2 linked regions of the Caenorhabditis elegans genome follow. The protein of the gene in region 1 purifies or fractionates together with the protein of each later gene. This does not show direct contact. Each region holds a gene or a part of one and is shown on either strand. Other genes may lie near its edges.

Region 1 (4,092 bases):
TTCATATAGTCTCCGAGAGCAAGAACTACCTGCAAAATGTGTTTTTTATTGCAACTCTGTATTTATTATATCCATACTTTTTGAATCTGGACAGCCAATTCTCTGGTTGGAGAAAGAATAAGTGCTTGTGTCTCTCGAACTTGTGTATCCAATGATTGAAGAACGGAAATTGAAAAAGTCGCAGTCTTTCCGGTTCCAGATTGAGCTTGAGCAATGACGTCACGTGCTTTAAGAATTGCTGGAACTGCTCTTTGTTGAATAGCCGATGGTTTTTCGAATCCATAGGCATAAATTCCACGAAGAAGGTCTTCTCGCAAACCCATTTTGTCAAATGTTGGAATAACATTTACTTCTTCAGAAGATTCGAATTCCACTGTTGCCATATCATCTTTTTCTGCTTTTTTACCAGCCATTTTGGAAAATCTGAAAAAAGATTAATTTTAAACATCACTCGAGTGACATTTTATTGTCGAGTCGCGTAAATTTCCAGGTAAATACTCCGAGATAATACGGCGAAAAAATTCAAAAATAAAAATAGTTATTGGAAACCATAAACATCAAATTTTATTGTACCATATACAAATCATGTGACTTAAATTGGTTGTTTCAAAGAGCATGGGGCTTTCTTAAAATCCATGGAGTCCTATATCAATCAATGGTTGTACACATAAAATAAATGAGAAAAGGTTGGGGGAACGGGGAACCATAGAATGGAAAATAAATAAATAAAATTCTTGATAATGGCTACCGGGTATGATGATAGGCAGTCACTAGACGGATCTATGATGGTCTAGAAGACGCCGGGAAAAACGGAAAACGAATAAACAAAGGAAAGAAGTGAAAGTAGTTTGAGAAAAAGTTTGAAATTTTTGCGCGCTGCGTTCACTAAAGAGGCAAGTATTCAAAATTTCAAAAAACCGAAAAGTTAAATATGTCAATTTACATTGCAGAAAATAACATTTTGATTTTTGAAATATTCAGAATTTCGCCCTTGGCAGAGAAAAAGTTAGAAAATTTAGGATTTGAAGGTTAAATTTGATGAAAATCCGAATGGAGCAATGCTTGTGTGTTTTAATGTTTGTGGCAGCAAAAAAGCACGTGAATGATAGTACCACTAGTTACTTAAAAGTGAAAATGAAGGAAGAATTGATTCAGAATTTAGAAAAGACGGCCAACAATAAGCCCGATGAGCAAAGCGGCAACCGCAATAAGGAAAATTTGCAATGTTGGGTATGCACCGTCGACAAGAGCTCCATCAGAATGCGATTGTTGAAGCTTGCGGTTCTTCTGAAAATATTTTTTGTAGAAAATTGAACACATATTTTTTTTTCCAAAGTGTAATTAATTTTTTCAAATTTCTTTTCTGATATTACCTTGAGCATGACTTCGATTTCTTGTTCCAATCCATGTACTTTCTTTTGCAATTCTTCTTTCTCGTCAACTGTCGATTTCAACGATTTGCGAAGGGAGTTAACGGTTCCATCATGCGATGGTGTTCCAGAGTACGAACTTCCGAGCTCTCTGCAAATATTAGTTTTTTATTGAATGAAGTTTATGAAGGAAACAATAATTGTTAACCTTCTTTTAACCTCCATTATAAGTAAAAACTCACTGTGCCTGTCCAGAAGAAGCAAAACTATCCTCGTTCCTAACCGCAAAGGTTTTTGTATCATCTCCAGACGCTGGATCTCTCTTGTCAACGAAGGTGACCATAAGCTTGCTGTAGGTCAGCTCCGCTGGATCGATTATTTTCCAGACCGATTCCAAATCTGGCAGATCTTCCGAAGGCGCCACACACGATTGAACCATAAACTTATGTCGTCCTGCATCAGATGGAATTCCTTCCAGAGGTTGAAGCATTACTGTGATTTGTTTCGAGTCACCAGATTTCAGGAGGCCTAAAAAATCAAAATCAGAAGGTCAAAGTAAACTTCAGTTTTAAAAATCAACCAGTCTAACAGATAAGGTCTAAATACAAATCATATTTTTCTTTTTGCGTTTAATTTCACTTTTTCCATATCAAATTGATTTCAATGCAAATAAATCCATCACTCACCAGAATTTGGACGAACACAATATTGCTTTGGAGCCGTTGTTTTCACTTTGAAGCACACTGGATTGGTTGATGTGTTCTTGAGAGTCATGTGTGATGTGACAACATCACTGAATGGGCCAGTGAACACGAGTTCACGATTTGGAGTCACTTGCAGAAGACTGTGCTTTTCAGACATTTTTTTGCTGAAAAAAAAAGTTAGTTCATATAAAATAATTATGTTAAAAAATAAAGATTGATAGGAAGTTTGGATCAAGGCGAAAGAATTAAAAATTGTTTTTTTTCTATTGGTATTTACGTACATCACAAAACCGAACACTAAACGAATATTTTTTCGATTTGCAATTTCGAAAAAGCTATAAAATGAAAAAGTCGCAGTGTATGTTCTAGCGTTATCAGTTTCTCTTGAGTTTTGGCCAGTGCTTAGTGCCTAGAGGCAAGCGTATTTGCTCTTGGCAAAACGAAAAACGAAAAAAAAATCGAAATCGTGTAGAAGTTATACAAATGCTTGTCTATCTTTCTAAATACAGTCTTCAATAATCTTGAATTTGAAATTTGAAAAAAATATGGACGAGTGTATTCAACACAGGTCATAAACAAAATTTAAACAGAAAGGCATCAAAAACGTTGTTCAGCCAGTAATTGAACGTTTGTCAATTGATAATCGGGGAGAGAAAAGTAGAGATGCAACTGATGGATGACCCGATACATGAAAAACACAACAAAAAAATAATATTATTTCCTATATTTTAACAACGAATAAGTCCAAAACTGCACAGTATTGAACAAAGGTTGAACCAATTCGAGAAAATAACAAATTATATTGAAAAATTATTCTGAAACGCTGTCAGATGACATGAATTCGGGTGAGACGTGGAGAGCGCACACGTTTTTCAAAAAATGTTGTCCTGAGAGATGCGTAAGAGATAATAGACGCAGAAGGAAAAGTGTATCTACGTCTCTTCCCTCTCGTTGACTTATAATTCGAGTGTGTGAGTGTACGTGTGAGCGATGTGTGTGTGTGCGTTTGGTAGGGGAGGACGAGTGTGAGCGAAAATGGCTGTCCTGGAGAAGGAGAAACACGTTGTTGGAGACGAAAGAGGCACCGAAAAAACACAAGCATCGTGAAGAAAAAACGATGGGATAAGAGAAGAAGATGGAATAAATTAGGATGAGATGTTTGCTGGTAGAATGTGCAAAATGCACTCAGAGAAGATTAAGCTAAGGCAGTTCTATGCAATAAAATCTTAATTTTTGTATTCCCCAGGAGCCTATAAATTAACCTCCAAGTCAAAACAACAGACAATTGAACCTTTTTTTGAAAAACGAGAAGAGCTGCAGTTTAGAAATGTTCGATATTTAAAATTTCACTCTGATTGAAATCATTATTTGAGCTCATTTATGAAAAAGATTGAGACGGAAATTGAAAAAGTTGAGTTAATAGCCTTATGCGTCAGCGGAAGATTTGATCCATATGAAGAATATTAACAAGTCGCAGTATGTATATCTGATGAAGCTAGAAACAGAAGACTTTTAGAATGAAAAAGACGTCCTCTTCTGCGTAAACAAAGTGCAAAGGACGGCGAATTTGAATGGAAGAGAGAGAGTGCAGACGCAATTAGAGCACCTCGGCTTGGTACTGCTTTAGACTTAGTTTCTCTGTTTTCCTGCCGTCCGGATGTGAGAACTCTCCATGACAACACAGATATTTCCCGTATCACACACTCATCGGAAACATAAGAGGGGGAGAAGGACAACTGGCTCCAACTATCAATCAATCGGGGTTATTTACACAATGATTTTTGTTCTTTTAATGTGCTAATAGAAGAAATATACACAAACACATGGAAGTAATATTGGGGAATTTGCACTTTTCTAGAAAATTAAAACTTGAAGTTTCAGGCTGAGCAAAAATAGCTCAAATAACTCGAAAAAAACTCAGTGAATAACTATTTTTATAACCAGGTTATAGACTAGGCGAAAAGGTACAGAGAGAAGAAAAGTCCGAATTTGTGAAAAATCCCTATTATTCACCAAAA
Region 2 (3,598 bases), on another chromosome or scaffold:
AGGTGAACAGCTTTTCGAAGAACTTACCAGAAATCGAAATACCATCTGGGTTATTCAATTCTTCACAACATGGAGCCCAGAATGCAGACATACTTCACCCGTTTTTGCGGAATTGAGTCAAAAGTTCACACTTCCAAACATGAAGTTTGGGAAATTGGATATTGGAAGATGGGCAAAAGAAGGCGAGCGGTTCCGTGTGAATGCTCATCCAATGTCACGACAGTTACCAACTATTTGTGTATTCAAGTAAGATTTAAGCTTTATTTTAATTTTCAACCAATCTGTAATTTCTAGGGACGCAAAGGAAATCGCTCGTCGTCCACTAGTCAACGATAGTCGTCGTGCTGTTCCATTTGTGTTCAGTGAAGAGAACTGTGTTCTTGCATTCGATCTTCTCAATTTGTACAATGAGCAGAAGGAGAAAAAAGGCGCGAAAGCGAAGAAAGAAGATTAAATATTCGATGACAGCTCAAAATTTCCATATACGACTCAATCACGAGATCTTTCAACAACAAGAAATAATAACTCGGCATTTAAAATTTATACATCTATTTAGAATATAGAGGATTATTTGTAGCTTTAAATTTATAATGATAAATGATTTTGGAAATCAAACCACTACGCGAGGATCCCAGCAAGTTTTGTGTTCGACAGTCAAAGCCAATAAACGATCGATGTCTTCTTGAGTAATCTGTAAATCCCAATTTTAGACATTAGGACTAAAAACCATCTAGAAACAGACCGCCAGCTTAGTAACTTTAAAATTGGTAGCAACATGCTCTGGATTTGTAGTTCTCGGAAGTACGCTAATTCCCTGGCAATAAGCAAATCCAAGAAGGAGCACAGGAATCTCGACATTGTACTTTTGAGCAAGTTCTTTGATCAGAGGTTCTTCGGATAATTGTTTACGATATGTTGGGCTGCCAAGGCTACTGTACGCCTGAAAAAAACTTCAAGAGAGCGAGATTTAGAAAAATCCCACCTGGAAATGAATGTTATTTTCGTTACAGTATTTGACCAGATCGTCCTGATGGAAATGAGGATGATACTCAACTTGATTGACTGCTGGGACAACATTAGAATCTTTTTTCAATTCTTCCAAATGACAAATCTCAAAATTAGAGACCCCAACTGAACGCAATTTTCCTTCAGCCATCATTTCACACATAACGTTCCAACTTTCCACTCTCAGTTTCTTGTTTGCCGGATTTTCGCTTTTCAGGGAACTTCCAGGCCAGTGAATGAGCAAAAGATCCAAATATTCGACTTTAAGATTGCTCAGTGACTCCTCAATGCTTTCCCGAGCTTTCTTAACGCCAGCATTAGATGGGGCTAACTTTGACGTGATCCAGATGTCTTCTCTGAAAAAAAGATAGCTTCAATTGGTGGCTCTGTGGTTTTATTGAATTTTTAAAAATTATTTCTCAATTTTGTAGATTAAAAGTGGCTGAACTATATTTGAATTACATAATATTGAATGAATAACCTAGTTTAAATTTTTTTAAATGTTTGCTTTGATTATTGGTTTAGAATATAATTTGTCGAATTTTTTTTCATTTTTCAATTTAAACATTTTTAGCGAAACAATTTGCTGAAAATTAGAGAAAATGGGTTTCAAATCAAAGAAACACCAAAACCAGTTTTTTCTCGCAGGATTAAAAAAAGATTTAGAAACAATTATAAATTTTTTAAAACCTACCTCTTCAACCCATTTGCTGGAAGCAATTTTTCCAAGATTCTACCAATTTTAGCTTCATTGTTATAGACTTGTGCCGTATCAATGAATCGATATCCTTCTTTGAAACCTGCATCAATCACTTGACGAAGAATTTCTTCTTTTTGAACCTTAAATTTATTTTTTAGTCAAAAAATTGATTTATTCGAAGTCAATACCTGCCACGTGCCAATTCCGATCAATGGCATGTTGTTCTTAACATATTCACGATGCTCCATTGATCCTGAAAAGCAAAACAATTACACTTGAAATAATTGTTTAAAAGTAAATAAATAACTGTTGGCTTCAAACCAAAAAAGACTGAAAAAAAAAACGATTTTTAAAAGGAAAAATGTATTGTGCAGCAAGTTTAAAATATGAAAATGGTAAGATGAAAATGAAATGATTAGATGTGTTACATGGAAAAATGAGAAAAATGACACAATCAAGAAGAGCATTCGGTCGGCGAATTTTGAGAAGTGGGGAGTAGATCTGAAAAATACATAGATTATTATGATTATCTGAAGTTTTCGGTTTTTTTTTTAATTTGGATTTTTAATTTTTTTTAAATTTATCGTTTTCGCATTTCTTTTGTGATATTTCAGAATTTCAGACTAACTTTCCAATTTTTCAGATGAAAAATGTAATTTTCTAATTTTTTTTCAATAATTTTCAGCCAACTCACTTCCATCGCGATCAAATGGGACTCCCGAAAACAACGTCCCGTCGATTTGTTTGATGCAAGACCATTCATTCTTAACGACATCATAGGAAAACAGTTGGGCGACATTGAGCAAGAATTGGCAGAAGATCTTACCTTTCGGTAGAAAATAATCCTGAAAATTAATTTTATGTAAACATTTAAATTCGAACAGAACAACTGAAATGTACCTTTTCAAGCATTTTTTGCAATTCTTCAAAAACTTTCAGCGGCTCAAAATTGTATTGCTTGAGAATTCGTTCAAATGCGGACCACATCTTACACTCTTTCGCCAGTTGCACCACACTCGGGACATCTTTCACTTTTGGAATCATACTGATAGCCTGCGAAAAAAATACACATTATATATCAAACTTTTGTGTTGTTTCAATAGTTAAAATGACCCTAAAAACCGAATTTTACAACAAGACTTCAAAAAAAAAAAAATTAATTTTTGAAACAGTCTCGTTATCAAATTCAGTATTTCGTGGCCATTTTACATTTTAAAAGTTGTAATACCTTGTCATAAAAATCGCCGAGACAATATCTATCCTTCGTTTCTCCAATATCCATGAGTGAAAAATTTGAAAAACAAAACCAATTGATTTCTTCATGTTGTTCGTTCACAAAACGCTCGATTCGGGCGAGCCTCTTATTAATGGCAGCTTCACGATCATCGTCAAACACAAAACTTTGCTTTGTTAGAAGCTTGATATCGATGTTATACTGCACACGTGTCGCTCTAGCGATCGCCACATCAAATCTTGTGACCCTCGCGGCGTGTTCCTCTTTGGTCAAACGTTCAGCACTCCAGTGCTCAATGGCATCTTCTGGCTTAAGTTTCATAGTTGAACGGAAATCATAGTAGGAGTCAATAAATTTCGTCAATAGTACTGTGCATTTTTTGAGGAACACGGCAAAGTCATCACAAATGTCGTCGGTTCGAGACACTTCCCCACTGATTTCAATTGCAAATTCTTGATTATCTTTGATTCCTCTCGAATTATGATCTGCTTCACTAGAAATGGAACAGACAGCTGTCTCATTTTCGAGCACTTCGGGAATGTTGTCGATGATGGGAACTTGTTGAACCATTGAAGAATGACTTTCAGAAGTAGAAGGACCATCTATGTACACCAAGCTATTGCGTGAAGACCTCCTGTTTCTAGCTTTCATTGGTGGTA

Evidence for each region. Proteins that work in one complex are often made in the same cells at the same time.
Region 2: the proteins of vpr-1 (region 1) and C35D10.6 fractionate together in Caenorhabditis elegans (co-fractionation; one large-scale study listed by BioGRID). This does not show direct contact.

What each region holds. Positions count from the first base shown.
Region 1 is NC_003279.8:5,867,717-5,871,808, forward strand, and holds vpr-1 (Major sperm protein), read right to left. Parts: upstream 2,239-4,092; 5' UTR 2,232-2,238; coding exon 2,057-2,231; intron 1,899-2,056; coding exon 1,613-1,898; intron 1,522-1,612; coding exon 1,374-1,521; intron 1,288-1,373; coding exon 1,159-1,287; 3' UTR 550-1,158; downstream 1-549. Other genes in the region: F33D11.10 (RNA helicase), read right to left, coding at 1-29, 78-413.
Region 2 is NC_003281.10:4,857,699-4,861,296, reverse strand, and holds C35D10.6 (NADP-dependent oxidoreductase domain-containing protein), read right to left. Parts: upstream 1,959-3,598; 5' UTR 1,954-1,958; coding exon 1,894-1,953; intron 1,846-1,893; coding exon 1,700-1,845; intron 1,362-1,699; coding exon 983-1,361; intron 941-982; coding exon 743-940; intron 692-742; coding exon 611-691; 3' UTR 525-610; downstream 1-524. Other genes in the region: C35D10.10 (Thioredoxin-related transmembrane protein 2 homolog), read left to right, coding at 1-246, 295-454; C35D10.7 (ULP_PROTEASE domain-containing protein), read right to left, coding at 2,160-2,206, 2,400-2,550, 2,606-2,758, 2,934-3,598.